Canis lupus familiaris: one gene and its partner. The protein of the gene in region 1 interacts with the protein of each later gene in a biochemical or structural test. Links are inferred from orthologs where the notes say so. Each region holds a gene or a part of one and is shown on either strand. Other genes may lie near its edges.

What was found.
Region 2: the proteins of RPS6KA3 (region 1) and PEA15 form a complex in vitro, tested with the Homo sapiens proteins (2 studies listed by BioGRID). The link is inferred for Canis lupus familiaris from reciprocal best matches to the Homo sapiens genes RPS6KA3 and PEA15.

What each region holds. Positions count from the first base shown.
Region 1 is NC_049260.1:16,150,191-16,166,821, reverse strand, and holds part of RPS6KA3 (ribosomal protein S6 kinase alpha-3), read left to right. Parts: intron 1-3,522; coding exon 3,523-3,611; intron 3,612-4,249; coding exon 4,250-4,314; intron 4,315-4,389; coding exon 4,390-4,492; intron 4,493-6,412; coding exon 6,413-6,537; intron 6,538-9,166; coding exon 9,167-9,292; intron 9,293-12,052; coding exon 12,053-12,142; intron 12,143-14,096; coding exon 14,097-14,255; intron 14,256-15,799; coding exon 15,800-15,961; intron 15,962-16,631. UniProt on the Homo sapiens protein: Serine/threonine-protein kinase that acts downstream of ERK (MAPK1/ERK2 and MAPK3/ERK1) signaling and mediates mitogenic and stress-induced activation of the transcription factors CREB1, ETV1/ER81 and NR4A1/NUR77, regulates translation through RPS6 and EIF4B phosphorylation, and mediates cellular proliferation, survival, and differentiation by modulating mTOR signaling and repressing pro-apoptotic function of BAD and DAPK1.
Region 2 is NC_049259.1:22,822,880-22,838,618, reverse strand, and holds PEA15 (astrocytic phosphoprotein PEA-15), read left to right. Parts: upstream 1-1,959; 5' UTR 1,960-2,133; intron 2,134-2,715; exon of another isoform or gene 2,716-2,771; intron 2,772-6,646; 5' UTR 6,647-6,648; coding exon 6,649-6,820; intron 6,821-7,409; coding exon 7,410-7,565; intron 7,566-7,711; coding exon 7,712-7,776; 3' UTR 7,777-9,675; downstream 9,676-15,739. Other genes in the region: DCAF8 (DDB1- and CUL4-associated factor 8), read right to left, coding at 11,777-11,893, 12,501-12,617, 12,998-13,117. UniProt on the Homo sapiens protein: Blocks Ras-mediated inhibition of integrin activation and modulates the ERK MAP kinase cascade. Inhibits RPS6KA3 activities by retaining it in the cytoplasm. Inhibits both TNFRSF6- and TNFRSF1A-mediated CASP8 activity and apoptosis.

The DNA of each region.
Region 1 (16,631 bases):
TCAGGGCCATAAGTGGGTTGACATCATCTCTAAGAGTGGTTACTTTGGTGGGACTGTTGTTGATCACTTGGCACTCAGGTGTGGTTGTTGGAGTCAGCCCATTTTTGTCTGGCTGATTTTCACAGATGAAGAGCAGTTACTGATTGGTTGGTTTGGAAAAAACAAAAACTATGTTCACCTAGGCAAGTTGTTTTTGATCAATTGAATGAATTTAAAGCCAGTTCTTGTGGCTCTCTTGTTAACATGGTGACATAACAATTAGCCTTCTAGGAGTGTTGAAATTGTTTTATTCTCCTTATAATATTGTTGAACTTGTTCCTTTGTTGAATTTCTGGTTATTTTTTGGCAAGATTATTTCATAGCTCATGCTGCACACATGAGCCATTGCATCAAATCAGAAGGCTTAGAACACCTGGTTGCCCCACTTTAAGTGACCAGTTCCTATAGTTACATCTGATCCCTCTGTTGCAAAGTTCCTTGGCAGATTTTCAACTAGTGGTTTCAACCATTGGTAACCATTAATTGAAACAATTATTTTATTAGGGATTCAAAAATAGTGATTTTCTATTACTTTTATTCCTTCTTCATTTATTAGCTGATATTTTCCAAAACAATGAACTTTCTCTCATCAACGAGGGCTCTTTAGTTACCTTGAAATAAGGCTCAAACAAGAAAAGCAGAATAAATGTTTGATTCTTTCCTTAATTATTTCCAATTGCCAGAGCCCTGGTTACCTCCAGTGGGGATGGTGTTGAAAGAGTTGGTTTTTATGTTAGTTTTGACTACAACAAACCCATGGGATTTGATAATCAGTGTGATTCAGCATTTACAAACAATTGCATTCATTATTTTTAATGCTCAAATTGTTCTTTTTCTGACCACTGTTTTAATGTTCTTGTTCCCCAGGGTTTCATCTCTGATATGCTTTTCTTCTCTTCTGTGCTCATTTCGATCTTCCCTATAACTACTCTCAGCATTTTAATTATTCTCAAATTACTCTTTCTTACCTTAACCAGACATCAGACCTGTATTCGCATTTACTCACTTGCTTGGCTCTCCAAAAACATGATATGTATGACTTAACATCTTTAAACTAGATTTATCTGTTTGCTGTTCTTTTTTTCTTCTTGTGCTTTCAATTAGCCTCATTTCTAAGTACCCCATTTCCCAAGCCAGAAACCTGAAAATCACTTTTGATTTCTTCCCTTCTCTTGCACATGCAGGTATTGGTCAAATTTGCTTTCAGAAATATTTCAGTGTCCCAGGCGTTTCTTTGCATTGTACTGCTTACAGTTCTCAGATCATGGTGGTCTCTTACTTACACTATTGAGTCAAGCTCCAAAGTAGAATGCTTACAACCTACCACCACTTCCCACTCCAGATCAGTCTATACTGCCCTTGGAGTTACCTTGTTGAAAATAAATTTGGTCATGTTATTCCACTGTTTAAAGACCTCTGGTATATCCTTATTACCTAATTTGGCAGTATTTTCCCAGATTTGTTGAACAGAATGCTCCCCCTACAAGATGTGAATAGGTCTTCTCTGAAAAAGAGGTACTGGGAGCAAATGTTTAGAAAAATACTGATTTCTTTACTTTAGATTTTTCAGCCTTTTATATGCATGTACTTTATTCTGTGTTTCCAACAAGGGGTATAATAGATAGCATTCCACAAATTCATTGGATCATGAAGTATTTTGTTGTTGCTGCTGAGTATCTAGAGAAATCAAGGTTATTTAGTAAGATGTTGGGGGAACACTGGCCAAGTGAATAAATTCTCAACCTTTAAATTGCATTTAAGGAGATCCCTGGAAGGCTCAGTGGTTTGGCACCTGCCTTCGGCCCAGGGCATGGTCCTGGAGGCCTGGGATCGAGTACCGCTTTGGGTTCCCTGCGTGGAGCCTGCTTCTCCCTCTGCCTGTGTCTCTGCGTGTCACCCTCTCTCTCACTTTCTCTCTCTCTCTCATAAATAAATAAAATCTTTTAAAAAATAAATAAATAAATTGCATTTAAGGCCTTTCACAATCTCTCGTGTTAAATTAGATATCCCCTGATATTCCCTTAGCAGTCTTTCCATACGTCCTTCTGAATATGCCTCTTCACGTACTAGGTTTATCCTTGGGTTATCCATCTCCGTCTTCCCCCACTGACTTGATGGGGTGCTATCTTTATCTGTATCCTCAACACTAAGGAATATCTGGCACATAGTAGCTCAGTAACAACTCACTGAATAATAAATGGATGTATTTCTCAAATAGACCTTTCTCTGCTAGCCATTTCCCCAGCTCTTTAATTATTTTCATACTTAGAGGATCATTAGTTTCCTTAATTTATAAATTAGAAAAAAAATAAAATTATATATTAGAGCTGAAACTGACCTTCAAGCTCATTCAAGCTGGTGGGTTTCAGACTGTACCTTAGACTCTTAGATGTTCCACAGACCTCTTTCCCACCAGCTCTTCTTCCCTGTAGGGCTATTAAAGGGAATGGGAGGAAAAAATAGGCATATGATGCACATGTTCTTTTAGCAGTTGTAAATAGTGGATTTCTTAAATTCCTTTTGAAAAAGGGTTCCAAGGCTACATTTTGGGAGCCATTGATCTAATAGTCCCCTTGCTTATAAAGAAGTGGTAACAGACCCAAGAGAATTGTCTTTTCCCAAGGTCACAAAGTTCTTAGTAACAGTGCCAGAACTAAGACTCAGATGATCTTACTGTCACAGCAGTGCTTTTTGCAAAATTTATAAAAATGGAAAAGTTTGTTAGAATATTATGGACTGAAATTCTATTAAGTGTTCACACAAAAACCTATATACAAATGTACAGAGCATCTTTATTTGTAGAATCCAAAACTGGACACAATCCTGATGCCCTTTAATAGGTAAATATATAAACTGTGATACATCCATGCCATGGAATGCTACTCAACAACTAAAAGGAATGATTTATTGATACATGCAACCACTTGGATGAATCTCAAAGGAATTTATGCTGAGTGAAAAAAGGTTACATACTTTATAATTATATTTACATAACATTCTTAAAATGACAAAATTGTAGAAATGTAGAATAGATTTGTGATTGCCAGAGGTTAAGAATTGGAGAGGGAAGGAGACAGGTGTAGTTATAAAGGGACAACATGAGATATGCTGGTAGTAATGAACTATTGAGTATCTTTACTGTGGTGGTGGATACAGGAACCTATACATGAGGTAAAATGGCATAGAACTTACACATTGAGTGAACTTACACAATGGGTGCAGTTAAAACTGGAGACATCTGAGTGAGATCAGTGGATTGTATCAATGTCAGTATTCTGGTTGTTATAGTATACTATAGTTTGGTAAAATGTTACCTTTGGGGAAAACTGGGTAAAAGGTATACAGGATCTATTTGTATTATTTCTTACCGCTTAGTATAAATCCACAATTATCTTAAAGTAAAAAAGATTAATTTTAAAAATTAAAAATAAAATACAAATACCTCCAAAAAATAAAATGTTACTATGTGGATTTATTCTTTAGAGCCAAACTTGGGATGCCTCAGTTTTTGAGTCCTGAAGCCCAGAGTCTCTTACGAATGCTTTTCAAACGAAATCCTGCAAACAGATTAGGTAAAATTTGTAATTAATTTTTTTTGTTTTTTTTTTTTTTGGTTTATTGGTCTTTGGGGTTTTGGGGTGGGGGGTGGATATTTGTTTTGTTGTGGAATTATGATATATTAGGACAAATGTTAAAAGCAAAGGCTTGGGGATCCCTGGGTGGCGCAGCGGTTTGGCGCCTGCCTTTGGCCCAGGGCGCGATCCTGGAGACCCGGGATCGAATCCCACGTCAGGCTCCCGGTGCATGGAGCCTGCTTCTCCCTCTGCCTGTGTCTCTGCCTCTCTCTCTCTCTGTGTGACTATCATAAATAAATAAAAAATTTTTTAAAAAAGAAAACAAAATTAAAAAAAAAAAAAAAAAGGCTTGACGCCTGGGTGGCTCAGCGGTTGAGCACCTGCCTTTGGCCCAGGGTGTGATCCTGGGGTCCCAGGATCAAGTCCCAAATCAGTCTCCTCACAGGGAGCCTGCTTCTCCCTCTGCCTCTGCCTCTGTCTCTGTCTCTGCCTCTGTCTCTGCCTCTCTCTCTCTCTCTCTCTCTCATGAATAAATAAATAAAATCTTTCAAAAAAGCGAAGGCTAAATAAAGTATATATTCGTCCCTGAAGTAAAATTACCATTTAATCAAAAAATTTAAACCATTTTTTGATAGGTGCAGGACCAGATGGAGTTGAGGAAATTAAAAGACATTCATTTTTCTCAACAATAGACTGGAATGTGAGTATACATGAAGATTTGCTTGAATTTTTTTTATAATTAATACATGTCTAAGTCTCTTTTTTTTTCCTCCAGAAACTGTACAGAAGAGAAATTCATCCACCTTTTAAACCTGCAACTGGCAGGCCTGAAGATACGTTCTATTTTGATCCTGAGTTTACTGCAAAAACTCCCAAAGGTAAGGAGAAAATGTGAAAACCTAAATATAACAGTGTGTGTGCGTGTGTATGTGTGTGTATAATACTCATGTCTCCCCTTCATACCATATCCTTCCTGCAGTAACTAGATAATTAGTAAATCCTTTACAGCATTTTATAGCAGTCAAGTTCCTTGTTAAATCTTTTAGCAAATTAGGTTATGCCTTAAACTTTGATACTATTTATGTGAAAAAAAAATCTTTGGTTGTGTGTTTATTTACCTGTAGCTATTTTTACATGAAATAATCTTTTAGTATAGATAGTACTCTTTAAAACTCTAATATTAGTTAGTATTTTGGAAGTACTTTTTTAGTTCAATTCCAAAACATAACTTAAACTTTATATGAGGTGTGACCATCTCAAAATGATTTATATCCTGTGTCATGCTTTATTCTAAAATTACATAAACATTGACTGTTATAGAGAAATTATCTTTGAAATGGTAATCTGTATTTCATTAAATTAGTGTATGCATGCATGTAATGGTGTGCTCTGCACTCTAATACCCTGTTGTTTAAGTGTACTAGACCCCAGGTTTATCACTGACAAACAAATAAATAAAAAGTATATTTGTATATATTTTCTATACAGTACATCACTTAAACCTCATTGTAAAGCTTTCGAGACAATATCCTCATAATTTGTGTTAATAAGCATTGATGGATGTTTATTTTTATTAGACAGTCTTAGAAATTAGGATTAATACATGAACAAAATTTCATCAAATATATGAATAGTGATATGCATAGAATTGGTGATATATGGTAATGTTTTACTTTACTTTCTCATTACAATTTGGCCTGATAGAGGAAAAATTTCAGAAAAGAGCAGTTCTATATTGTATTCTTCCCAGATTGGTTCTCTTAACAGTGGTCTTCAGTATAATACTGTTACATTGAATTAAAATGCACTAAACAGTATTTATTGCTGAGAATATCAAGCTGATGTTAAAAAAGAACTTTGTATGGAGTTGATATTTAAATATATTTGCCTGTTTGGTTTTTGCTTTCCCTTAGCCTTTATAGCATGATTATAAATATTAGTATGCTTAATTGTGTGTTTATATTTATGAATTATACATTTGTTATGCATGCTTTTATTGTTTTTATAGTGAATATTATATTTTAAAAGCATTTTTCTGTTTTTGTTACTGCTAGTAGATTCCACATAAACAATTTGAGTAACAATATATGTCATGTCATAAAACATATTTTAAGGACTGCATACCATGATTGTCTTAGAAATTATTTTCGTTCCTTATATATATATAAATATAGTAAATTTTAACATGTAGTTTAGATTTCCAGATTCTGATATTGTATATTGAGGCCATCAGACTAAATTCCTTTCTCCTAAATTATCTGTGGATGAACCCTGTATCTCCCTCTCACCAGGATCCATAGCATTTTTAGGTTATCATTTAAGGTTGCACCATCTAATATGGTAGCCAATAGTCACATGGGGTTATTTCAATTTAAATTAATTAAAATTTAAAATTTTGTTTCTCAGTCACACTAACCACATTTCAAAAGGTTAGGAACTGCATATGGCTACTGGCTACCATATTGAACAACACGATAAAGAAAATTTCTATCACTACAGGAAATTCCATGAGACCATGCTAATTTAGAATAACATTAGCCTAGTAATTTTCATCGATTTATTATATTCTTCAATGAATTAGCTATTTTCTGGGCTCAGAGGAACTTGGATGTTAGAGTTGTGATGCCAATAAGCCATCAGGACAGAGCTGATTGAGTGTTACTGAGTTATCCTGGAAGCCCTGAATGCCTAAAAAGTGGAATTCCAGAATAAGAGAAAGGTCATACTGTCAACAGTTCTTCTTCCCTTAACTTACCATTCAGAGTATAACCTTCTTAGTAATGTATTATTCTTTTCAGATTCACCTGGCATTCCACCTAGTGCTAATGCACATCAGCTTTTTCGGGGGTTTAGTTTTGTTGCTATCACCTCAGATGATGAAAGCCAAGCTATGCAGACAGTTGGTGTGCATTCAATCGTGCAGGTGAGTGAATGTCTAAGTAATTTAAAATTTGAAATGTTGTAAGATATGATTCACTATGTGAATAATTAGATTAGATTTGATCTGATGATTTTAAGTGAGCAGCTTAAAATACATTTTATATCATTGACTTACTCTTAGAAATTCCTTTCATATGCCTTTAAAAAGATAGGGTACCTAAGTGGCTCAGTTGGTTAAGTGGCCAACTCTTGATTTCTGCTCAAGTCATGATCTCAGTGTCATGAGATCAGGCCCAAGGCCAGCCCCACTACTTGGTGGGAAGTCAGCTTAACATTCTCCCTCTGCCCCAGTGTGTGCACGTGCTCATGCTCAATACCTCTCTCTCTCTCTCTCCCTCTTTCTCTCTCTCATAAATCAATCAATCCATCTATGTATCTATCTTTTTTTTAAAGATTTTATTTATTTATTCATGATAGAGAGAGAGAGAGAGAGGCAGAGACACAGGCAGAGGGAGAAGCAGGCTCCACGCAGGGAACTCGACGCGGGACTCGATCCCAGGACTCCAGGATCGCGCCCTGGGCCAAAGGCAGGCACTAAACTGCTGAGCTACCCAGGGATCCCCCTATCTATCTATCTTAAGGGAAAAAAGATTGCATGCACCAGAGTCCTGGATACTGATCTAACTTGAAAGGGGAATTCTAAGAGAGTTGAGATGCATATCACCATCTTGTCTCTACACTCTCCTATGCCTCAAAATGTTTATCAGGCCTAATTTGTTTCATCTTCTGCCTCTGTCAGGTCAGCCTTGATGAACTAAGATCTCCTGGTTCCCTGATGGCTTGGAACAGGGCTCAGCAGATTTGTTCTGTAAGGGCCGGTTAATAAATATTTGAGGCTTTGTAGGCTATATGATCTCTGTTACAACTACTCAACTCTGACAGTGTAGCATAAAAGCAGCCATGGACTGTAGCTAAATGAATGAGTGTGGCAGTGTGCCAATAAAACTTTATTTATAAAAACTAGTATTAAAACAAATTTGGTCCATAGGCTATACAGTTCGCCAATTTCTGCTATAGAAATACATAAGAAATAAAAGTGAACTTCAGCCTTATATTTTCCAAGTTTTGTGTCCTTGTTCTTTTGGAGTCCCCGTTGCTATTTAATAGAAATGGTTATAGATACTACCTTAGGATGTCCCCCACCCCATTATCCCATCTGTGTATCAGAGTTGGAGAATGAGGTAAAAGCCGCAGAAGCAGGTTTCCAGATGTCTGTATGCCTGTAACACGAGACTGAACTAGTAAATGTTATTAGAGGAACACAAGTAGTACAAACCATTAGATGTATTTCTTCCCATCCTAGTATCATGGAAAGATAAATTTAATTCATCTTCTGAATTATAGAAGGAACTAGATATATCTTTTGAAGCACTGATTGTTTTTAGGGCACTAATTAGTGCTTGGATTTGCTTAATGATGAATTTGCTTGAAGATGAAGTTGCTTTTGCTCTCAAGTTTTCTTCGCAAGTTAGTCATCTTGCTTTCCACTTTCTAGAAAACCAATTTAAACACTAGTTTTTAAATAAATTTCATGGTTAAAGTAGTTTGTTCCTTTTACTATAGCAAGCATGTGATGTATGGCAGGTTTTTAAGTTATAACTTCTGTACCTAACATAGAAATCACAAACATATATTCTACAGAATTCAAATTCTAACCGATACACAGTTTGTAGACATTGGTAGGCAGGAGGCGGGTCTCCTTTCAGTATCGCCAAGGACAGCACAACTTCCCTCAGCCTGCTTATGAAACTACTAATTTACTAGGCATCGTCCTACCATATGTTATCAGTCCTTAACCTATTAATAGCTTCTCTAGCAGAAATGTATTGAAGCTTTGACTTGAGAGTGGAAAATGGAGGGCATGGCTACTGATAATCCACAATGACGATAATAGGTGTCACCTTCAAATATGTTATTTTTATTTAATCCTCACCATTACCCTCTAAGAAAACATAGTTTAGGGTTGCGCAGTCTGCAAGAGGAGCATCTGAGACAAGAATCCCAATGTTCTAATTCTGAATCCTCCTAAATATTTTCTTCTATACCAGAGACTTTAAACTTCTCCCTATTTGCAAAAGTACTTTAAAAGACCTAGCATCAGTTGGGGAGTGCAATAGGGCTCAGTCACAGGCAACCCCTTACCAAGTAACTCTGCATTTTCGGTTTTACATATTCAAATTTTTTAGCATAAGCTTTTTCTTAAAAGCCTATTTCTTGCTGTACATTTTATGGCAAACATTCTAAAATACACAGTTGTGGGGATGCATGGGTGGCTCAGTCGGTTGAGCATCTACCTTTGGCTCAAGGCATGACCCTGGAGTCCTGGGATCGAGCCATACGTCGATCAGGGAGCAGGGAGCCTGCTTTTCCCTCTGCCTTTCTTTCTTTCTCTCTCTCTTTCTGTGTCTCCCTTGAATAAATATAAACTATTTAAAATAAATAAAATACACAGTTGTGGAAAAATAAATGCTGTAAAGATTCATTTTTAATTTTTGCTTATATTCCTTTATATTGTTAATATCAGCAATGCATAATGAGTAACATATTCCTCTATTATGAATTATACCATTGTCATTACAAAACTCTTTGTCAATTTATAATTGTGTTTGTAGCAGTTGCACAGAAACAGCATTCAGTTTACTGATGGATATGAAGTAAAAGAAGATATTGGAGTTGGCTCCTACTCTGTTTGCAAGAGATGCATACATAAAGCTACAAACATGGAGTTTGCAGTGAAGGTAAATATTTTTAGATTTAAAATTCAACTCTGGGGTGCCTGGGTGGCTCTGTTGGTTGAGCATCTGACTCTTAGCTCAGGTCTTGAACTCAGGGTCATGAGTTCAAGCCCCATGCTGGGCTCTATAGTACCTAAGGTCCTCTATGCCCAGCATGGAACCTACGTTTTAAAAATTAAGAATAAATTAAAAAATAAAATACAGCTCTACCAGTTGTTATTCACACATGTCAGTACAAGTTAAAATTAAATTTTTCTTTGGCAAATGTGCCTTTCATTTTTTTAAAAAGGTAAATTTAAATATCTGCCTATAGCAACCTTCAGGAATCTCAATTTGGAACCATGGATTCACCTGTAAACTAAAGGCAGGTAGCGTACCTTTGGTTTGCTCAAGGCAGTAGTACATCTGACTTGATTTTTAATAGCATCTTCTTACTCTAAAAAGTAATATGGGGGCATTTTGTGGTCTTGAGTGTCAGGGACTTCCTCAAGATTGTATGCCAAATTTTATGTGTTTACATTTTTCTGGCAAAAATGTTCATATTACCAAAAAAAAAATGTTCATATTGTCCTTCACATATAAAAGGATCTGTGAACTGATAAAAGGAAAAGACCACTGTTACAAAATTTATTATCATTAGCTGTTTTAATTTCATTGTTTCATTCATTGTTTTAATTTCATTCAAGACAATAAGAATTTTTGAAGCCAAATCATATGGCTCTATGATAAAGTTTGAATTACAGACCTGTAGCTATAAGTGAAAAAATACTACATTCAAGTCTCTGCCTTTTCACTTCTTGGGATGGTAGTCACTGCTCTCCCAATACAAGCAATTTAAGTAATGTCTAAGGCTCTTAATTTATTTTGGACCTTAGAACTGGTCTGTAAGTGTGGGTAGCTCATGTTTACTTACATGAAGAGAAGCATTAATTGTTTTTACTTCTGTATATCCATCTGTCTTTCTAGATCTAATATGATTTCACTGTGCAAAAATAAAAATAAATGTGTTTTATATATGCATAGCAAATATCTATGAAAGACACACACATACACAAAAAAATTGTTATTACTATTCTAAACTTGGATGTAATTGCTTTAAAAATCGTCAGTGTCCAGCTTTCTGTCAGATATAAGGATAAACCATAGAAATGCATGTTAATTTGCTCTTCTCCTACTCATTGCTCTTAGTGAAATCTGGGGTACATAGGAATTTTCAGATTGCTTACGAGAAAGGAGAGAAGGTGAGTAATGCACATGATGGGCAGTTTAAGGATGTGTCTTGCCTCCATAAACACATCAGAAAAAGAGCAGAAATACCCTGAGGTCCCCTTTGAATTACAGAAACCAGGAACAGTATACCAAAACCTCAAGAATATCTTCAAGCTATTTGTGGATTCTTGTGACTTAAATTAGATTCATAAAATCAATCCTAACACAGCTTCATTCTGCTGAAATTACCACAAATCTAAGATCTACAAACACAAGTATGTGATATAAGCTCTGCTCAGATTAGCAGATCAAAGAAAATGTTGCTAGGAATAACACCTCCCAGTGTGTTCTGGTTTTCAAAAGACTAGTCCCAGATCATCTCCCTTGAATTAGGATGTCTATTCCATATACCTTTCCTCTTAATCATCTATTTGCCTAATTCCACACTGTCATTTGCATTTGATTACAGTGTACACCTATGTTTGTATTCCCTGTTCTCCACATACAGAACTGTTTTACAACTAAATCCATTTCAGATAACAGATTTGATTCATACTTTGAGTTGCAAGCTTTTTCCTAGATTGCTGGAGCATTTGAGTATTTGTTGTGTACATTAATTACTAAGCTCTTTTAAAATTGAAAATATAAAGGTCACAAAATTTGTTTGAGACTACCCTCTGGACAAAAGAAAGCTGAACTTGTCCTTTTAAAAATATAATATCACTTTAACAGATTAAAACATTAAGAGATGTATTTTTAAGAAGCAGCTGACCTAAAAGGGTTGAAAAGCTACATTAGTATTTTATTTTATTTTATTTTATTTTTAAAGATTTATTTATTTATTTATGAGAGAGAGAGTGAGAGAGAGAGAGAGGCAGAGACACAGGCAGAGGGAGAAGCAGGCTCCATGCCGGGAGCCCGACGCGGGACTCGATCCTGGAACTCCAGGATCACGCCCTGGGCCAAAGGCAGTCCCCAAACCGCTGAGCCACCCAGGGATCCCCTACATTAGAATTTTAAAGGGCTTTATCATAATAATTAAACTTAACTCTAGCCAAGTAAAACTCTTGGTGTGGTTTCTCTGCTTAGCTTTCTGCCTAGCTTCAAAAATAAGCTTGTTCTACTTAACTGTTAATTAATTTTTTATAAGTAGCTTACAACTAATGGGTTATTCCATTGAAGCATTTTATTAAAGGAAATAAAGTTAATTCAATAAACAGATGCTAGTGGCAGTATTATAGATACATCTTGTTCTTAATTATATGTATTGATAAGGGTTAAAAGTTGACTGAGCTTCCAAGGTTTTAAGACATTCGGGGATGGAAGAAAAATACCTTTTCTTGGGGCTTTTGAGTGTTTAGTAAGTCCTAAACTTAGACTGGCTTTCAAATTTTGATTAAACAGTCTGGCCAGGTACTAGAATAAAACTGGTTGGTAAATGGCTCATATGTCCAGTATTTATGTAAGATAATACCTAAGGTCTGTAGCTGTGCATACTTAAGGTTCGTGACCTTAATAGTTCATGAGATTTTATGATAAATATTTGCCTTTTAGATTATTGATAAAAGCAAAAGAGATCCAACAGAAGAAATTGAAATTCTTCTTCGTTATGGACAGCATCCAAACATCATTACTCTAAAGGATGTAAGTAGTAGATTCTTGAACTCCAGTAATTTGAGTCACTTGTCCAGCTCACATTTGGAATGTTTTCAAATATCATGTGATAGACCAAGAACTTGATAATACTAAGTTTTAAAAAAATTGACTAAGGACAACATGTATAGCATAATTTAAGTTCTAAAGAAAAACATGTTTAATTTTTGTACTTTGCTTTAAGAAGAAAAGCATTGCTGACATTATTGCTTTTAATATCTATATTTATTGGAACATTTGGGTAGTGATTAGTATTAGGAATTGACTAGTCTCATGCTCCATGTTCTCCCCAGACTGTCTTCCATAGTACTGCCAGAGAGAGCAAACACTTGGATATAACCACGTTACTCCCCTGCCTACAGTTCATACCCTGCTTCACCTCCAGTCTGCCTTCCTCTGTCTGCAGTGGTTTTCACACTTCCTCTCATACCCCATGCTCGAACCATGCTGCATGTACATGCAACCATGTACATACACATCTTTAAACTTTCCTCCTTTTCTCATGCTGCTCTTTGAATTTATGGTTTCCTCAATCAACAATACCACTTCCCTTCTTTGCCTGGCCAACTACCGTACATCTAGAACTTTGCTAAAACATTACTCGCTCCAGGAAGCCTGTCCTGCCCATCACCACACCCCAGACAAGTGAGGTATCTTTTCCTTGCTACCTGTGGTTTTTATCATAACAGAGCTGTTGGCAAAGGGTATGAACTCCCCAGACAGTATTAAATCTTCTCTTGCTGATGGTGCTCACATAGGCTCAAAGGCTGTATCAGAGTTGTAGACCTGATATGTCATGTGGCCAACTAAGCCAGAGGACTTCTAAGATACTTTGCCTTTCACCTCTGAGATTTTGTGAATTCCAAAGGTTAATCTCCCTTCTTACTAACCCAAACTCCCAGTTTCCTCAGATTAATTTATCACTGCATTGTTAGGAGAATGTTAGCTTGGTTCCATTAAATGTGAAGCTGTGTAACTTAAGTGACTCTTTGATATAACCTCCAAGAATCCAACTAAGTAAATCAAAAAGGAGGTGTAGAAAATACTTTCTCTCATCCTTGCCTTAGAAATTCCGTAAGCTGTCACTGTTTTTACATCTTTCCTCCTTCCTTCATTTCAAATTTTAAAGTCTCTAAAATTCTCCCTACTTTTATTACAGCATCTCCAACATTTTTTTAAACTCTTGTTTCTATGTCTGTTTCTACTAGAATAAAACATTGAGGATGGGTATCTTGTTTTCTCCATTTTAGGGGCCCCAGTACATGGTACCTCTTATGGAGCTAAATAAAAGTGTTCAGTAACCCTGTGGTGAGGGAGAATAAAAGGAACTGAAGTTTAATAAAGGGGTTATTTCAGTTTGGGATTGCCTGGAGTACAATTCCGAAATTAAAATGAGCTTTTTATTTCTACGTTAGGAGTAAACTGGTATACTTCTGTGGAGTTAGGTGGAATTTCTTTTCACTGCTTAATCTTCCTACTTAATTCTTGCCACAACTTGTCTTTGAGTATAATCAAAACCAGAATAATTCATTGTACTGTGTATGTAAATACAAAAGTTCTGCAATTGTAGAAGTTCCAGGAAAATACAGGCGTGTGTCTTTATTCTAGTCTCTGCTGTCATCAGTAGATAGAAAGATCAAGAGAAACAAACCCTGAGAGCAAAAGTTCAGTGCTTCTTCATATACACTGCCCATAGTTACTTTGATTGCCATGACTTACGTTTCACAGAAGGAAATTACAGTTTATTTTTCTGACATTCAATCTAATCAATTCCTATTTTAATATTCTTGTATTTACATAATTGTTTATGAATTTTATGCCTTCTATTGACTGTGATCAGTAAAATTTTCCTTGACTATAAAATGAATTTTAATTTCTCTTGAATATGCTAAACTTTGTTCTGAGCTTCAAATAATTTTTTACATTTTGATCTTGAATTTTACAGGTATATGACGATGGAAAATACGTGTATGTAGTGACAGAACTTATGAAAGGGGGTGAATTGCTGGATAAAATTCTTAGACAGAAATTTTTCTCTGAAAGAGAGGCCAGTGCTGTCCTGTTTACTATAACCAAAACTGTTGAATATCTTCATGCACAAGGGGTAAGTCTTTCCAACATTTTATATATATGTGTACACACACACACACACACACACACACACACACACATACACATACACCTTAACCTTTTTATTAACCTTTTCTTTCTTAATGTTTGGAATAAAATTATAAAGGTAGAAATTACTTTATGCATTGATGGAAAATAACTATGATTAGCTTAATTATTCTGCTGTTCTTCCTCTAAATAAACTTCTCCCACCGAACTTGAAGGGATACTTTGAAATCCTAACTTGTTTATATTAAATTCTTAGGCTTCCTAAGAAAAAGCAAGTGAGGTCTTCTGACCTAGAAGACCTATCACTGTTTTTGCTAGGCCACTCTGTACTCTTGAGAACTGGGTCTGTTGCAAGTTTAGAAGCAGAACCAAAGAATCATGGGTTATATTCAGTTATAAAAGGAAATTAAGGGCTTATTTCTTAAGGAGTTTATTTTCAATACATTATTCTCATTCTGTTTGTGTTTGCTCCTAGACGCTAACAAGTGGAATGTGTTAATTTCATCCTACAGCTTCTTGACTTCTAGCTGGTCAAGATTTGCCTAGTAACTAGCTCAAAATTCATGTGACTCTGTATTCTCTGAAGAATTGATGACTTTGCAGTCATCTGAGTCTTCTCTGTTCTTTTCCCATTGCATCAGCAGTAATTAGTTGTCTGGAGAAATAATGTTCTCAATGTTAGGAACTAAAACTGAGGAGATTGATTAGAATCTAGACTCAGAATTCAGTAGTAGAAAAGACATAAATCTGATAAGGAATATCAGTAGGCTTATATGCAAGAGAAGTATTTTTTTTTTCAAGAGAAGTATTCAAGTAAGTAAGTAAAGGGGGAAAATAATACAGAATTCTAAAGGAGTTAATATCTTTTTGTATGTGTGACATTGTCACTTAGATCAAATAGACAATACTAAAAGTCTGGACTTTTTTTTCCTTTTTACTCCTAAACCTCATGCCTGTTCCATGAGCCTGTTGGTGCAAGTTTGTTGTATACCTCATCATACAAACTGTTTCCTGTACTTAGAATGACCATCCCTCACTGTTCTGGCTTGTTCATTCTATTCCTCAGGTCTTGGATCAGATGTTACCTCCTCTAGAGACCCATCTCTAATCTGTTTATTCTCTGCCTCCCCCACTACTATGTAAGCTCATAGCATGGAAAGGCAAAGATCTTATGTGTCTTGTTCACGATAGTTCCTTATATAATACCCTGGCACATGATAGGCATTCAATATTTGTTGAATGATTGAGTAACCTAGAGACAGATACTATTGCTATTTGCATTTTACCATAACCTACTTAATCAATTGGACAAAGAGGAGGGAAGTACATGCTACTTTTTTCTTCCTCCTTTCCTTGCCCCAATTCTGTATTAGAGAGTTATATTTACATTATCAGCATTTTATAATAAGATAATTTAAAGGTCAGCACTCATCATCTTGTTGAGTACGTTGCTTGTCAGTTTGTGAATAAAGAGTTTTCCATAATGGAAATGTATTGTTAATGTACCTCTTTAATTTGTATTTCAACTAGGTGGTTCACAGAGACTTGAAACCTAGCAACATTCTTTATGTGGATGAATCTGGCAATCCAGAATCTATTCGGATTTGTGATTTTGGCTTTGCCAAACAGCTAAGAGCAGAAAATGGTCTTCTCATGACTCCTTGTTATACTGCAAATTTTGTTGCACCAGAGGTAACTGTGAAATTATTTGCTTCCAGTATTTCAGTATATTTAAAAACTCATTTGGGGGCACCTGGGTGGATCAGTAGTTGAGCGTCTGCCTTTGGCTCAGGTCATGATCCTGGGATCCTGGGATTGAGTCCTGCATCAGGCTTTCCACAGAGAGCCTGTTTCTCCCTCTACCTATGTCTCTGCCTCTCTCTGTGTGTCTCTAATGAAGGAAGGAAGGAAGGAAGGAAGGAAGGAAGGAAGGAAGGAAGGAAGGAAGGAAGGAATATTTTTAAAGCCTCATTTGCTGTGTTTAATATAGCATAGTTAATAGTTGTTTAATTGAAGACTTACTGAACAAATAATTAAAATAAATGTCAGCTCTTTTTCTTCTGATGGCAATTTATCCTGTCCTCAGCCCCCTACTGCTTAGTCCACTATAATCCTTTCCTTGCTCTGCCTTCTGTCTTCCTACATAATCACACATCTGTAGAGGTCTACTATCACTAACACTTTTGTACTTGTGAGCGCATGGAATTAAACGGAAACTAGCTTATTCTCATTCTTTCCTAATCCTTCTAATTTCCTGGTTTAGTCACCATCTTCCTGTATTTCTGAGGCTAATGCATCATGGTCTCTTCTTGTATTTAGCTTCGTAACTAGGTATCATCTGTTATCCCCTAAAATCAATTCA
Region 2 (15,739 bases), on another chromosome or scaffold:
CAAGACTCAGCCCCAGTGACACTTCCTTGGTGAGGGCTTCCCAGAGGCGGCGCCCGCTGCAGCCCCCTCATCTGGGGTCCCCCCCTTGGCGACCCCCTCCATCTGTGGCTACGTGTCTGTCCCCCCGCACTGGACCGTGGGCCCCTTGAAGGCAGGAGCCCAGGCTTCTCCTCTGCGCCCACCAAGGGCGGCCCCCACCGCGTCTGCTAGCAGAAGGCGCCAGTGAACAGAAGGGCTCAGGAGGGAGCGGCCACCACGCAGCGGGCTCCGAAGGCTCCAAGGAGTGAGCCCTTGCTAGGCCCTCCCTCCGTGAAGAGTGGGGGCTGACGGGGCAGAGGAGGCAGGGAAGGGGCCTGCCCGTCAGTGGAGAGCATCAGAAGCACCTGCAGGATGTGGGTGTCATACTGGGGGCGCAGAAGAGATGAGCAGGACAAGAGGAGACCCGCAAGTGGGCCCCACGAGGATGGGCGGGTGTCACGGGGTGTGTGGAGCTTGGGTCTCGTCCTGGGAGCCAGGAGGAAGGGCACTGATGGGCAGGTGGGCAGAGGGAGGGAAGGGGGCCCCTGGCCCTCACGGCCAGAGGCCACCAGTAGGGCCCGCCCTGCAGAGGAGGCACAGAGTTCTGTCCATGCGGCCCCCCACCCTGCCCCCGGGCCTGGGCGGCTGAGGTTCTGGGCAGGAAGGCTCCCTACGGCCCCCAGCACAGCCCAGGCTGGCGTCCGGGTAAGGGAGTGGGATGCCGTCGGGGGGTGGGGGGGTGGGGGGGGACCAAGGCACTGATTGCCCAGAATTCACAGACGTGACAGTTACGGGCCAGGTACAGAGGTGCCGCTGAGACTACAGGACGGCTAAGTTCAGGAGCCACGTCACTGTCCTGGACAAACCCAGGAAGCGCCCCTGGAGGGGGCGGAGGGCTCCTGCCACCATTCAGTCCTGCGTCTAATACGCCGAGTGGGCCCTGGGCCAACCATAGGCAGCCGGCAGCCCCCACAGCTCAGGGCAGGGCCCCTGCCCATCTGCGGCTGGGTCCCGAGCACCCATCTGCGCCACTCCTGACACTCAGGATTTCTGCGTCTGGGGAGAGCCCTGCATGGGGGGGGGGGGGGGCAGCAGCATGTGCACCCTCCTGGCGAGGGCGCTGGGCGTTGGGGGCATACCCTGCCCCCCGGGAGGGGCAGAGCCAGTGCAAAGCCCCAGCCCCTGTACAGGCGTCACTTTGGGTCTCTGGGTCTCACCGATGGCTCAGAGAAATGGCTTGCGGTCCCAGGACACAGCGCAGGAGACACACAGCCAGGGCACGAGGACGCCCTGCTAGCAGAGGGTGGTGATGGGGGGCAGGGAGGAGGCAGGAGGCCTGTAGACCAGGACGGGGGGCTCCCCAGCTGGAGGTGGCACAGGCCTCTTCCCAGGGCCGCACGGCCGGAGTTGAGGCAACAGCCCTCCGGCTGCAGGTGGGGCGCAGACTGCTGCCCCCCGCCCCCCGTGTTCCTTCCCTGTTTCAGTGTGGCCGAGACTGGGAGGAAAGTCCCCGAGGCGGAGAGGAAGTGAGAGCGCGGCCGGCCGGCAGAGGGGAGGCCGAGCTGAGCGTGGCTTTGCACGGCGGCGTCTATATTTGCACGCTGAGCTCACTGCTGCTCTTTTCCTCCCAGAAAATCAAATTACATCATGGTGGGGGGAGGCCGGCGGGCGGGACATCTGGGGAAGGTGAGAGGGACACGCGGGCATCACCCCGGGGGAGGGCCCAGGTGGAGGGGAGGGGGCCGCCGCCGCGCTGCCGCGGCCGCTCGGGGGATCCGGGGCCTCGGCCTCCGCCGTCGCCTCCCCCGGTGCCCGCGCGCGAGGACGGAGAGGACGAGGCCCGCAGCGGGGTCCGCTCCCCCCCGCCCCCGCAGGCCCCGCCCCCGCAGGCCCCGCCCCGCCGCGCAGGCCCCGCCCCCCGCAGGCCCCGCCCCGGTGACGTCAGCGGCCGGCCGGGCGGGGCGCGCGCGGGGCTGGGGCTCGGGCTCGGGCTCGGGCTCGGCGGGCGGAAGCGGCGGCGGCGGCGGCAGGAGCGGCGGGAGCCGAGCGGAGGCTCCGGACGCTGCCCAGGACCGGGACGCCGGAGACCGCGCCCTGAGCGCTCAGCCCGAGGCGGTGAGGGCGGGGGCCGGGGGGCCGGGGGGCGGGGGGCGGGGGCGGGGGCCGGGGAGCGGGGGTCGGGGCCGGGGTCGGGGCATCGGGCCCGGGGCGCGGGCGGGGCGGGAGCCGACCGGACACACACCTACGGGAGCCCGCGGCACGCGCCGACACACGCCCATGTGACTCGTGCACACACCGCTTCGCACGCAGCAAATCACAGCGGTCCCCGCGCTACGCACCCCCTCCCCCACGGCCTCCATGTGCCCGGCCCCGGGCGACCCGCTGCGGGACGGGCGGGGGGCGGGTCCTGCGGTGCCCCCGGGCGGGATCCGGGGCTGCGATCCGGGGCGGGATCCGGGATCCGGGGCTGCGGTCCGGGGCCCGGGGCCGCGCAGGGCGCTGTGCTGGGCCCGCCGGGCGCCCGGGGCCCCGGAGCGGCCGCTGTCTGCGCCCCGGGGCGGCGGAAGGCCGGAGGAGGGGGCGGGAGAGAGAGAAGGAGCATGAGTCAGCCGAGGATGGAGCCCGAGTCGGGGGGAGAGAACGAGGGGAATGTGCGCGAGGGACGGGGACGCGGCCGGCGGCGGGCGGCGGGGGGAGGGCGCGCCCCGGAGCTCGCGCTGGGAAACGGCTGAATCTGTGGGTTTTGTGTCTGGGTGAGTGGCCCCCGGGCCGTCAGAGCGATTAGCTGTAGCTGCTCTTCCCTTTGTGGCCAAGCGCCGCGTCGGGGACGGTGCCAGAGCCCCCGAGGCCGCCAGAGCCCCCGCGGCCTGCTTGCTCGGCCGCACTGCCCTGGGTGCCCTGCCCTGGGTGCCCTCCCTGGGTGCCCACCCCAGCACCCTTGGGGAAGGCCGAGGCCATGCCTCCTAGGCAGACCCTCAGCACCACCTGGGCACAGCCAACCCGCTCAGGCTCCTCCCCACCACAGTGATGATCCCTGTACAGCTGGGAATCTCACTCCTTCCTGATGGGTGTTGGGGTAGGGGCCCCGAGTGTTCAGACACGGACACTGGGGCACAGGCCCCCCCCCCCAAGTCCTCAGTATTCAGGGCCAGCACCACGTGACATGGGATGGAAGCCCACCGGAGGGAGAGGAGGGGGGGAGGAGCTGGATGCAGGGGAGAGACAGGGAGGAGACACAGCAGCAGGCGAGGCCCTCCCCTCCCCCCTCCCCCGTCCCCCCCACACCAGGAGGCAGCCCCCCCCCATCGCACACTCCATGCCCCCACCTGGGTCAAGTCCCACAGGCTCGGCCCAGTGTCCGTGCCCAGGGCTAAGCCTCTTGCTCTCAGGCCACGCTGAACCGTTCGAGGCCCCAGGACCCATCTCCCCTCTGGCGGCTGAGTCTTAGAGCCCCCCGCTTTTGTCACAGGGTGAGGCTGAACGGAAGCTACGGGCAGAGGTCCACGACGTGTGACACTCAGGATAATGAGGGGCGAACGAGGGGCCCAGGTGGAAACTGAAGTGGGCCCCATGGGCCCCCCTCCTTGCCTGCCGCCCCTCCCCCAGGCTGGGGCCTCCCTCCCGGCTCCTGGGACACACCCCCACCCGCCACCCAGGCCACCTGGTCCACCCGCCCCCGCCCGCAGGCCACAGGTAGCCAGCAGGGGGGCAGTGGCTCCTGAGCCTCGGGCTTTCTTCCCAAGTCGACTGGGGGTTTGGAAGGCACCGCTAGGGATGATCCAGAAGTGCTGTCGGGACGCCCGGCCTTCTCGGGGTGCTGCGCCCCCCGCGGTGGTGTCCCCTTGGCCCGCCGCCCCCAGCGCTCCCCGAGCCCCAGCCGGCCCGCTCTGGCTCCCGCCCGAGGACCAGCAAGCAGATCCCTGCCCCTCCTCCCCTGCGTCCCCAGCGGGTCCCACGTCCGTGGGGCTCCACCTGGGCAGCTGGGGGGCGGCGGAAGGAAGGAAGGAAGGAAGGTAGGTGCGAGGAAGCAGGGAGCAGAGCGCAGAATGATCGGGAGGGAAGGGGACGGACTTCCTGGCAGCGGCCGGGCCGGTTCCTGCCCGGTATCCTGTCCCAAGAAGGGCCTCCGCCCAGGCTGCCGGGTGATCCCGGGAGGGGAGGGGACTCGCCGGGAGGAAGGTGACGGTGACCGGCCCGGGCGCAGCCCGCCGCGGTCGCACCAGCCGGGACGAGCGCTGGGCAGTGCGACCTGAGGGCCGCGTGAGGAGGTGCACCTCCCTGCACCCCAGGATTCCCCAGGGGACCGGCAGTGGCCCTGCGGCCGCCAGCCGCCTCCCCGCCCCCTCCCCACGGCCGGCCCTCCTCACTCACCACTCCCCGCCCCCTCCCGTCCAGTGGTGTCATTGTCCTGAGCGCTGGGGGGCACCCAGAACCGAGGTTGCCATGGCAGCCGCTGAGTCCCGGGCCGCCCCCCAGGGTCTGTCCTTTGCCGCCTCCTGGCCGTTCCCAGGCCTGCCTCCATTCCGCAGGGTCTCCTCCGCCGTCCCCTCCCCTCTGGACGTGGGCCTGTGCCTGCAGACCTTCCTCACGCTCTTCACACACACGCACGCCCGGGGCTGACACGTGCACATCCGTGCCCTGACCATGCACCCCTCCCCCGCACCTGTGCCCCCCCCCCCGCCGGGCCCCACATCCACTGCAGGGTCCCACCCCCGTGCGCCCCCCCCACCCCGCTCCTGGGGCCTCCTGGAGTCCGCTGCTGCCCGCGCCCCCGGCCATGGGTGCCGTGGGTGGCTTGCTCACCACCCTGAGCCCGGCCCGCCCACCTCCCCTGGAAGTCTGTGCTGTAGGATCGGAGCCCGGAGCCTTAACTCTTTCCAGAGATTCGCACACACTTTCCTTCCGCGGGATCTAGTTACAGCCTCTTCTTCCACGAGAAAACGGGACAGGATGCTCCTCAGCGCTGTCCTGCTTTCCCCTGAGGGCTTGGTCCCAGGGTCTCCCTGTGGGGGGCACGCTGCCGCCTCCCGAGCCACCCCTTCCTTTGGGGGGCCCCACCCCCGCTGACTCCGCGCGTCTGGACCCCTCCCGATCACCCCCTTCCTGTCCCGGGATTATCAGTGGGTGGGGGCTGGGCTCCAGAGCTGCCGCTGTGACCTAGATTTCAAGGCGAGACGGTTCCTGGTGCTGACAGTCGGCGAGCATTGTTCCCGGCCCCGCCTGGCAGGGCCACCGCTGGGCCCTTCTGTCCCCTTGCACCTGTGAGCGCCTGTTTCTCGTGGGGGTCCTGCCGCCCGGCTCATCGTGTGTCTGCGTCGCGGTGCCTGCCACCCAGAGAGGCTGGTTCGTTCTGGCCCACCGAGGGGGCTGGGAATGGGCACCCCTGGGCCGCCGCCTCTCTGCCTCAGTTTCTCTGCGTCTACGCCACACGCCGCCTGCTATGTGCTGCATTCCCATCCCCTTGCCGGGGTGACTGGGGCAGTCCAAGGATGCGGTCCTCCCGCTCCTTGCCCTGGCCCTCCGTCACGCCAGAGCTGTGATGTAATTTACTTTTTAAAACGCTTTATTTTTCTGATTATAAAAGAAATACATCCTCATTGTGGGGGGATCAAAGCCCCTTTAAACTTCCCACGAGGGGCTTCACGTCTTATCCCACCCGGGGAGCACCTGCAAAGGTCCGACCCTCCTTCTTCCTGTCTCAGTCACACTTTGTGCCTGGCCAGGGCAGGGAGGGCCTCGAACGTTCCCTCCCTTTCCAACTGAAGGCCTTGGACGAGGCAAGGGGGAAGGCCTGGAGGAAGGCCCGCCCAGCCCCCCGCGGAGGCCGTCGTGGGGCACAGCCGCGTCGGAACCCCTTCCCCTGCCACCCAGCCGGCCTGGGAACCGGGCAGGGGGCCAGAGGCGGCCGCTTGGTATTCCTGGGCGCGGGGGCTGCGGGCACAGCACAAAGGCTGGCGGAGGGGGCGGCGCGGAGGCCCGGCGGCCGGCACGGGAGGCACGGGCTCCTCAAGGCTGGGGTGGCCCCCGCCACCCCCTCCCCGCCCACCCCTGGCCCCAGCACTGAATCCCGGGAGGACCGTTAGACCAAGCCCCCGGGCATCCGTCCAAAGTGAGTCACCATGGGGTGGTGGGGAGGTGAAGTGAGGGTCCCCCTCGCTGCTGGGGAAACGTGGAGGCTGGAACACAGGCGCCCCCAGCGCCCCAGCCCCCTGCCCCGTAAGGGGCCCCAGCCCGGCCAGCCTCTCCCTCGCGGTTGTTTTGGAGTATTTTTTTCTTTCCTTTTTTTTGACAGGGGGAGGGGTTGCGGGTGGGTGGGGCGATGGGGGGGCTCGGAGGCTGCGGGTGAGAAAGTCTGGAGCAGGTTGCTATGGTAACCGCCTCCTCAGTCAGGGGAGCTGTTGCCAGGGTTACTCTTGGGGGGAATGAGGAAAAAAGATGGGGGTAAGGAGGTGTGACTGGTCCCTCGAGGCCGCAGCCCGGCCCCCTGCTTCTCCCTGGCTTCTCCCAACGGCCTGGGCCCTCCCCCCCCCCCCCCCCCCCTCGCAGAGTGGAGGTGCTGGTGGGAGGTGCCAGCGAGTCCGCCGCCGGGCACCTCGAGCTCAGCGCCTCCCTTTGTTCCTCCGACCAGTCATGGCCGAGTACGGGACCCTCCTGCAGGACCTGACCAACAACATCACCCTGGAGGACCTGGAGCAGCTCAAGTCGGCCTGCAAGGAGGACATCCCCAGCGAGAAGAGCGAGGAGATCACGACCGGCAGCGCCTGGTTCAGCTTCCTGGAGAGCCACAACAAGCTGGACAAAGGTGGGCGGGGGCCGAGCCACGGGGCCCACGACCCCCCCCCCCCCCCCCGCCCCCATGCACCTGCTGCCCCTGTCGCGGGCGCAGGGAGGGCAGAGCCGGAGCGAGCGCCCGAGCCAAGCCACAAGTGTCAGAAGTAGAACCGCTCTGGCACTTTCAGAGCCGGGCTCCGGGGAGGGCGGGGGCGAGGGAGCTGCGGGTGAGGAGGCCCCGAAAGGCCAGTGGACCCCGGGGGTGCTCCAGAGGCGGGAGCGTTGGGGTGTCTGGAGGATGAGGCCGCCTGCTTTGTTCGCCCGGGGCCCAGGCGACCTGGGAGCGGCTAGGGTAGGGTGGGCCGTGCTGCGGCCGAGGGGCTCTGGGGGGCCTACGGAGCGGGGTGAGCCGCGAGGGCTCGGGGGCAGGGGACGGGGGCGCCGTGGAGGCCAGAGTGGGGCCCTGGCTGGGTCAAGGCGGGCAGGGCCACGGCCACGGCGAGGCCAGCTCCCTGTGGTCCCTGCTGCTCAGCCTGCAGCCCTCGTCCGAGCCGCTGCGGGCCTGGCCTCCCGGCCCCGCGGGCCCCACGCGGCTGACCCTGTCCCCCGCCCCCCCCCAGATAACCTCTCGTACATCGAGCACATCTTTGAGATCTCCCGCCGCCCCGACCTCCTCACCATGGTGGTGGACTACAGAACCCGCGTCCTGAAGATCTCGGAGGAGGATGAGCTGGACACCAAGCTCACCCGGATCCCCAGTGCCAAGAAGTACAAAGGTAGGAGCCCGTGCCCGTCACACGCACCCCTGCCCCCCACCCCCACGGCGATCCCTGGAGCTTGCGGATTTGGGGCCAACACAAGCGGACGGGTGGGCCTGCCTGCTGTCGCCTTCCGTCCCACACACGTGCCTTTCTGCCCCCAGACATTATCCGGCAGCCCTCTGAGGAGGAGATCATCAAATTGGCTCCACCACCGAAGAAAGCCTGAGCGAGGGGGAGGAGAGGAGGAAGGTTGGACCTTCACTGGACCACTCCCTTCCCCCAGCCTCCAGGGGAGGGGCACGGGCAACCCCCCCAGTCTACCCACTTACTAACCCGGTCCTAACCCCCTTATTGTGCGCGTGTGTGTGCGTGTGCGCACGCTCTGGCTGTCTGTCTCTATGTCTAGCTCATCTAGTTCCTCCTCCTTGTGAGGGGATGGGGGTCGGGCTGGGGGGGGCTTCGTTTCCCCACTTTAGGGGGAGGTGGGGGCTATTTCTATGCAAATAGAAATGGGTACATTCCTCCTACTGCCCTTTCCTTCCACGGCTAAAGTGTGGGAGCAGAAAGAACCTGTATTTTCCTACTGAGGAGCCGAGCCTGCGGGTAAAGCACGGGCGAGGTGGGTGCATTTAATGAAAAGCAGCGGGAGGGAAGGTGGTCACCCAACCTCCCCCCTCCCCGGAAGTGGGAAAGGAAAGCCGAGTTTGCGCCTGTACCCCGTGCTGGATCGGCTGAGGGAGCTTTTCTAGACGGTCTTCAGGCCGGAGGGCCTGGGCCCCAGCAGGTCCCTTTTTGCTCCCGTCCCGCGGGCCTAGGATGGGTACAAGCCAGGGATCTAATGAGAGCACCACGGGATCCTTTCCTGGCCCCTCAGTACCAACTTTGCGGAGCACCGAGCGGTAGACGCTACCCCCCCAAGGGCCCATGCTGGGAGCAGCCCCACCGACCCCGACTCGGGGGCGCGGGCAGAGAGGGTCCTCCTTGCCACCCCTTTATTCCTACTCAGACTGTTGCACACACGGACTCCAGACCTAGGGAGGCTGAGCAGTGAGCCCCTGAGGTCTTCACTCCACCCCTGCCCCAGCCACAGGGTCCCAGCGTGGGGACTACAGGCCACCTGCCCTCTCTGGGGTCTACAGCACCCCCAGCTGGAAAGACAGGAAGAAGCTAATTAGGGCCTCTTCCTCCGCACTGACCCCCAGTTCAGTCCAGGAGGGGACCTGCTGGCCCGTCTCCCTCAACCCCCTGGCGCGTCGGGCTCGTGAATGCCACCCAGCCAGTCCCCGGACCCCGGCCTCGTCCTGTGCCGACGCCCCCCCGCCCTGACCGTGCTAACTGTGTGTACATATATACCGACATATATGTATATTAAACCCGCACTGCCATGCCTGCCCTCTCGTGGTGTCGAGCATACCTTCTTGTCTAGGCCCGGGCGGGGCTGGGGGGAGGCCACAGCCAGAGGACTGCCGGCGAGTCGCTGCGGAGTCCACACGGGAGACCGCGTCCACGTGCCACCTCCACAGGCTGGAGCGAGCGCAGTTCCGAGCTTTTCAGCTGAGGGAGCAGGCCCAAGCGGGGGGAGGACCGGCTGCCGGGGAGGGAGGAAGCCGACGGGCCGCGGAGCAGCCTGCACGCCCAGCCCAGCCCAGCCCAGCCCAGCCGTCCCCTCTGGCCACTGCTGCGGACACCTGCCTTAACACGGACACCTGGAGTACTCCACAGTTTTGCCTTAAAGGACCTCCCCGAGATGCCCCAGCCCTGTCTGCTTCTCCCTCCAGGACCGAGAGGCACTTGTAGAATTGGGAGGGGGGAGCTGAGCACGACTGTCCTTCCGGTCAGGATTACGTGATGTGAGAATGTGCGTGAGAGCGAGCGAGAGCGAGAGGGGGAAGAGGAGGAAGGAATAGGAGCCTTCTCTGAGGAGAGGAGGGGGGAGATGGGAGAAGGGAGACAGGGTCATTTCCAGCAGAGTCTAGAAATCTCTCTGTAAGGCAAAAATAACCTAAAAAGACTAACCTGCCCTCCCACCCTGTACGGCTGTGAGATTGTCCCCATCCTGTGCTCCTGTCTGCAGTGTGCACGGCCTTGTTCTAACCCTGGAATAAAGGTGATTGACTGTACTGTACCTGACTGCTTCTAGAATTTCTGTGAAGGTTTTTGGAGCCTCTGGATGACTGGGGGGGGGGGGGGGGGTGATACTTAATTCCGCTCCCTCACTAGCCTGGAACAGAGGCCAGGAAAACCCCCCCTCGTGGTGTCCTTCCCCTCCCCCGGCCCCTACGTAGCCCCCCGCAGCCCCGAGCCTGGAGACACGGCCCCGCACACCACACCTCAGGCCCTAGGAAGGCCAGGGCCAGGCACCGAGGCCGGCAGGAACCACACCAGCCCATCTTGGGTGAGAGGGCCACACATCACACACACAACAGCAGTCAGAAAGAAGAAGAAAAAAAAAGCTTTACTGAGAGAAAATACACAACAAAGTCCAGAATGCGTGGTTTTCAGGCCACTCCGTCGCCCCCCCAGCAACAGGAACACAGACCACTCAGTCACCACACAGCCCCTACCTCGGGGCAAGTGCAGCAGCTCACAGCTGGTCTGACCGTGGCTAAGAAAGGGGCAGAAGGAAGGAGTGTCTGGAATTCCATCCTTTCACTGTTCCCTTCCTCCCTGGCTTATTCTAGTAGAATCGGGCTGCCCCAGGGTGCAGAGTTTCTGGTGGGGGGGCAAAGAAATAGCAGCACAAGCAATAGGGCAAGAATTCAACTAGGACTTCCGTATCCGTGACCGGTGACGGGACGGGCGTCCAAGCCCCAGCCATCTTCATCCTCCAACGACGTGTCCCTCAATCGCAAGATGTCAGAGGCGGACAAGCTCCAGCGGCCGACCCAGGAGGGCCTTCTCTACTTCGCTCTTCCACCAGGAGAGGAGCTGCTGCGGTGAGGTGGGGGCTTCAAGAATCAAGCAGCTGCCGCCGAGGGCGTGTGTCCCCGTGTCCCCGCCGCACACAGCGGGAGAGACCGCCTGCAGTCAGTTCAGTCAGGCGCGAGAGACGCCGGCCTCTGCGGACCAGAGGCCCTGAGACCGCCCCGGAACACCACCGGGAGGAGAGGTGGGAGACCCGAGGCAAAGGACTGAAAGGAGTTTCCGGTTTTCCCAGCCCCGAAGCTGTGGCAGGAAGCAGGGCAGGGCAGAGCTGAGGACCCTTCCATTCTAGAGCCTCCGAAAGCCCAAGGGGCTTGCCCCGACCTCCAAGGGCCGCGTACAGAGGGCGGGCTGACCCCGGTGTGACCGTGAACTCACGATCCGCTCTCATCCCTTTATTGCAGTCATAGAGGATATATAGGTATTTAAACGGACAATAATTTTAACGTGATACATCCAAGTTTGACTTGCTTTTTAATATATTTATAGATATAAAATTAGGCCTCTAACAGTGACAGGGCAAGGAGATCGCTGCCACCAAACAACTTTTTCTTAACATTAACAGAAGAGGTAACACGTCCTTCGGATTCCTCCTCCGCCTCTGCCCCCCTTCCCCTCTCCCCCAGCCTCCCTCACCAGGCCTAGTTGGGGTGACGGGACGACGGAGAGAAGAGCGGGAAGGACACCTCATCAAATGTGAAACACTGTGGGAAGTACAGAGGACGAGCGGGTGGAAAGGAAAGTGAAGAGTGTGGGATGGTTAGGGGCTCTAAGGACCTCCCGGAAAAAACAGGATCCAGGGTTGGGGTTGTTCAGGGGGGAAAAAAACAATGCAACTGTCACAGACTTTTAAAAAATAAAGAAGAAAAAGGCCAAAAACCTAAACCAAAGAGAGAGTGGCACTTGTACCGCCCCCACTGTGGCCCATGGGTCCTGAACAGCCAGTCACCCCCACCCCCCACCCGAGAAACAGGGAGATTAAAGAAAAGGAAACCCCATTCCCTACCCCAAACCAGTTAACAAAATAGGCTCCCCCCTCCCAAAAAACAAGGCTTTGGGGAGAGGCCATTTCTGCTGAGCTCTCTGTGCCTCTCCATGCAGCCCACCCCGGGGCCTGCTCCCACTCCGAGCTACTCCGCAGGTTCACTCCCCCTCTGGTCTTTCTCCTGGGATGTCTGTCTTTTTCATCTAAAGCAAAAAGTCCAAAGTGCGTGTCTGCTGAATGTAAGGGCCTGGGACAGGAAAGGGCTGCCCAGGCAGGATCGGGTTGGCAGCCCCAGCCCGCCCTTCCTGGGTACGAGGCCTCAGGACGGCATGCACTGCACCCGGTCGGGGCCCTCCTCCTCGTCCGAGGTGTCGGAGGAGCTGGGAGACTCGTCGGAGTCCGCATCTGTGGCCCCAACCCCAGGTTCTCGCCAGCGCTGTAGAATGGGAAAGGCTTGTTAGTAATTTCCCTGAACCAGGACAAGCCTGTTAGGTCTTAACTCTAATTCGGATGCTCTAGGCCAGGGGTCAGCAGAATGCTTCTGAAGGGGCCAGATGAGGAGTCGTTCAGAGTCCTGGGCCGCTGCTCTGCTGCAACTACTCAGCTCTGCTCTTGCAGCATGAAAGCAGCCACTGACAATGTAAACGAATGGGTAGGATTGTGTCTAATAAAACTTTATTTACAAAAGTTGCCAGAGTTCGCCAACCCCTGTCCTAAACCTCTTCTTCCCCCCTAAGGGAAAAAAGGCGGCCACCCCTTCCCCCACATTCCTCCTCAACTCTTTCCCCACCCTCACACCTCCGTCCCCGTGGAGACAGCACTCTCATGCACGGAGACAGCACTCTCATGCACGGCGACGGGGAACGGAAAGCAGACACCACCCATTCTGCCACACCAGGGCTCTGACGGGGATGGGGGACCATGCAGAGGACACCCAACCCAAGCCACCGGATCCCTTTTAAGGTGGTGAGGAAGTGGGCACTGGAACACTCTCCCCTCCAGAGCGTCACCGCCCTGGGAGCTCACCTCCCCCACCCGCTTACCCGGTGGTGGCGTCTCTGTCTCAGGTGATGCATGAGGAACCAGAGCATGTGGCTATCAAACAGGTCGGTGTGGTGCAAGCTATCTTCATCCCGCTCCCGCTTGTTCTTCTTAATCACCTGGAACAAAAATGGGTGGTGGGAGTGGGCATGAGCAAGGAGTAAGAACCCTGGACCTGACCAGAAAAGACTGGCATTCTATCCCACTGAAAACTTCCTTTAGGATCCGTTAAGCTGAGGTGCTGAATGAGATCAGGGAAGGATGCACCACGTTTATCCACAGAGAAGACTGGGAAGCTCTAAACCAGAATGGTTCTTCTAAAGACACCCCAACCGCTCCACCGTTTACTAGAGGCACCCCGCAGCCCCCGCCGAGCCCCCGCGCTGGGACCACTCCCCAAGGGGCAATCAGTGCCTTTAAAGAACTGAGCAGCAGTTATTCCTTCCCATGACAACGAAGACTCAAAATGTAACGTGGACATGGGCAGTCAGCTACTCACGTCCTTCAGCCCTGTCAGTTCAGTGGAAGTTTCAGCTGTGGGCGCCCAGATCTTGACGTCATGGTCAAGGCCACTGGTTGCCAGCACTGGCAGGTGAGGGTGGGGCTCGAGACAGTTCACCTGGTGAGAAGGAAAGGAAAGCACAGGCTCAGGGGGTGTATGCAAACGGGGCTTAAAAACCACTACTCACCTTGAGCCAAACATATTCCTCAATCAGAGCTGAAGCAGCTGCTGGGAAGGCAGGCCCAACCATCATGAGTGTGGGCCAAGGGCCCTGGGGGTGGAAGAAACACTGGACACAGACTGGGTAGAAGACCAGGCCCATCGCTCATTTCCTAAGTATAGGCAGGGGTGGCCTCACCCTAGACACAGCCCTAGGGGTGGGCGGGTGACTGGCCAAGCTTACTGCTGGCTTCACAAAAAGGCAGTGAGGTCCAGATGACCTCATCCACTCCGGATTCCACAGCTCCAACTTGCCCATGGCTGGAAAAAGAAAAACCTCTCAGTGGCTTTCACCAAATGGCAAATAAAGTTTTAAAAATGAAGAAAGCAACAGCTGCTGCTGAACCCCCAGAAAAGAGTCCAGGGATGATTACATTCCCTTGGCACTGTTTACTTGAACTGGAGGGTGGCACAGGCTGGGGGGTGATGAGGTGCTGGAGCTCTAGTCTGCTTGAGAACCCTGCGCGCCCCAGGGGACAGCACCCTGCAGTGGCCCTGGAAGCCCGACAGGCACAGTGCAGGAAGACAGTGTCCCGGAGCACCCATGGTTTCAATGTCCACCACCTCCGGGTACAGTCACTGGGCAGGAGAAATGTACTTGGGCAGACAGGCAGGCCTTCTGGCTTAGGCAGCTTCCTTCTGTCTGGAGGCACCCATGCCCCCTGCTGTCTGACTTGAAAACATCAGCCTTCCAAAGGGCCAGGCAGGGCCAGGCAGGGCAGGGCAGGGCAGGGCAGGGCCGGGCCGGGCCGGGCAGGGCAGGGCCGGGCCTGGGCGCTCCCATGGCCACTGGAAGAGCTGGTCCCAGATCCAGCTGCTGAAGCATTTTCAGGCTTTTAGTCAGATGAGGAATGGATAGGAAAGGCACCCGGAAGGAAGAGGGTGTGGTCCTCGCCCTCCTCACCACCCCCCCCCATCCCATCCCAATCCCATCCAGCCCTGCAGCTGCCCCATAGGCCAAGAAAACCACCCCTGGCAAAAAGCCTCTTTTATCTTTTACTTCTCTCTGGACCAACTCCTCTCTGCCTGGCCTGCACGCGCAGAGGGAGCAGCTGGGGGGAAACCGGGGCCAGCATGGAAAATAAAACTGACCCACAGACTTCCAATTTCTTTGTTCTCCCGCTTTACAAGTAAATAGAAATGCTCCAGAAAAAACTGAAGCTAAGCCTGAGCCTAAGAATAAAGCAGAAACCCCATCTCTCCTCTTTTCCTTCTCTCACTCCTCATGTCTGCTCACTGCAAAGTTTATACTGGGGCTCTCTGAGGTAGTGTGGAAGTTTCCGGCATCTGCAGCTCAAGGCAGCATTAGACAGGAACTCCACTGCCTGAGAATATGATCAAAAGATACATGATAACTCACACATACAACCCTGAACTCATTCATCCACCTCCAGATAATAATAAGCCTTTGCTACCCTTCTACTCTGATCTAGCTCTGCTCAAGCACGTCAGTAAATCAAAAAGCACAGAGGAGAAACTCCTTGGAATTTACGACTAAAGACAAAGTCAAGGGCGCGGGGAAGTCAGTAGCGCACGGTACCCGGGTTGGAGCCGCAGGGGGAGCCGACGGAGAGCTTCTGGGCCAGGCCTGCCTTACCCTGTCAGTGACACGCTGGAGCAGAGCTCCAGCCTTAGGAGGACTGGCCTGGGGGATGCAGGGATGGGAAGCGGTCGAGTGCTTCGGGACACTAAGGACTGTCCTCTGACATCATGCCCCCCCACCCGTCCCTGAATGGGAACAAACAAAGGACTAGAGTTTGAGCCAAAACCAGAGGCAAGAGACCTGGGCAAGGAGAGGGGAATTTCTAAGATCCCCTCTGGTTCTAATATTCTGCTTTATGATGAGCTGCTATGAATGTGCTTTTGAGGCTGGTGCCTGGAGACACACTACAGGGAAGTCAGGACCAAAAAACAGAGGCCTAAGTGAGGACACACAGATCATCAAGTCACCCAGGGGCACGCAGAAGCTGGGAACCTTGTCTCGGGGTGCAGTCTCTGTATCTCTTGTTGGGAACTCTCACTCTTGTGACTTGTGACCACTGAATCCAGGCTTGAGGCCCACCTGTCCCAGGCAGGTGCCCTCCCCGTTGAGCACCGGGATTAGTCATCCAACTCTGATACTGGCTGTGGTGAAAGCACAGTGGCCTGCAGAGTAGTCTGGGAGAACGGACAAGTGCTGGCCTGGGGGAGGGCATTCAGCCCTGCGTCTCTGGAATGGGACGCAAGACAGTTTATGATCTAGAAAGGATTCACTGGCCCCTCCTGACTTCCTTCGGACTCCACGCCTACTGCAGAATCCTCATGAAGACTCCGAGGTTTTCGTATGTTCGTTGCAGATGATGGAAGAGGGCTTATGGCAAAGAGCAGGACGTGAGGCAGGCAACAGTGAGACAAGCTTTCATGATCTAAACGCCTCTCCACATACATTTAGGCCACAGAAGCCTTGGATGTGTACTGGCCCCAGGTCCCCCAAATTTAGACAAAACCAGAAAAAATCTGAAATAACTTCCCACGAGGGGA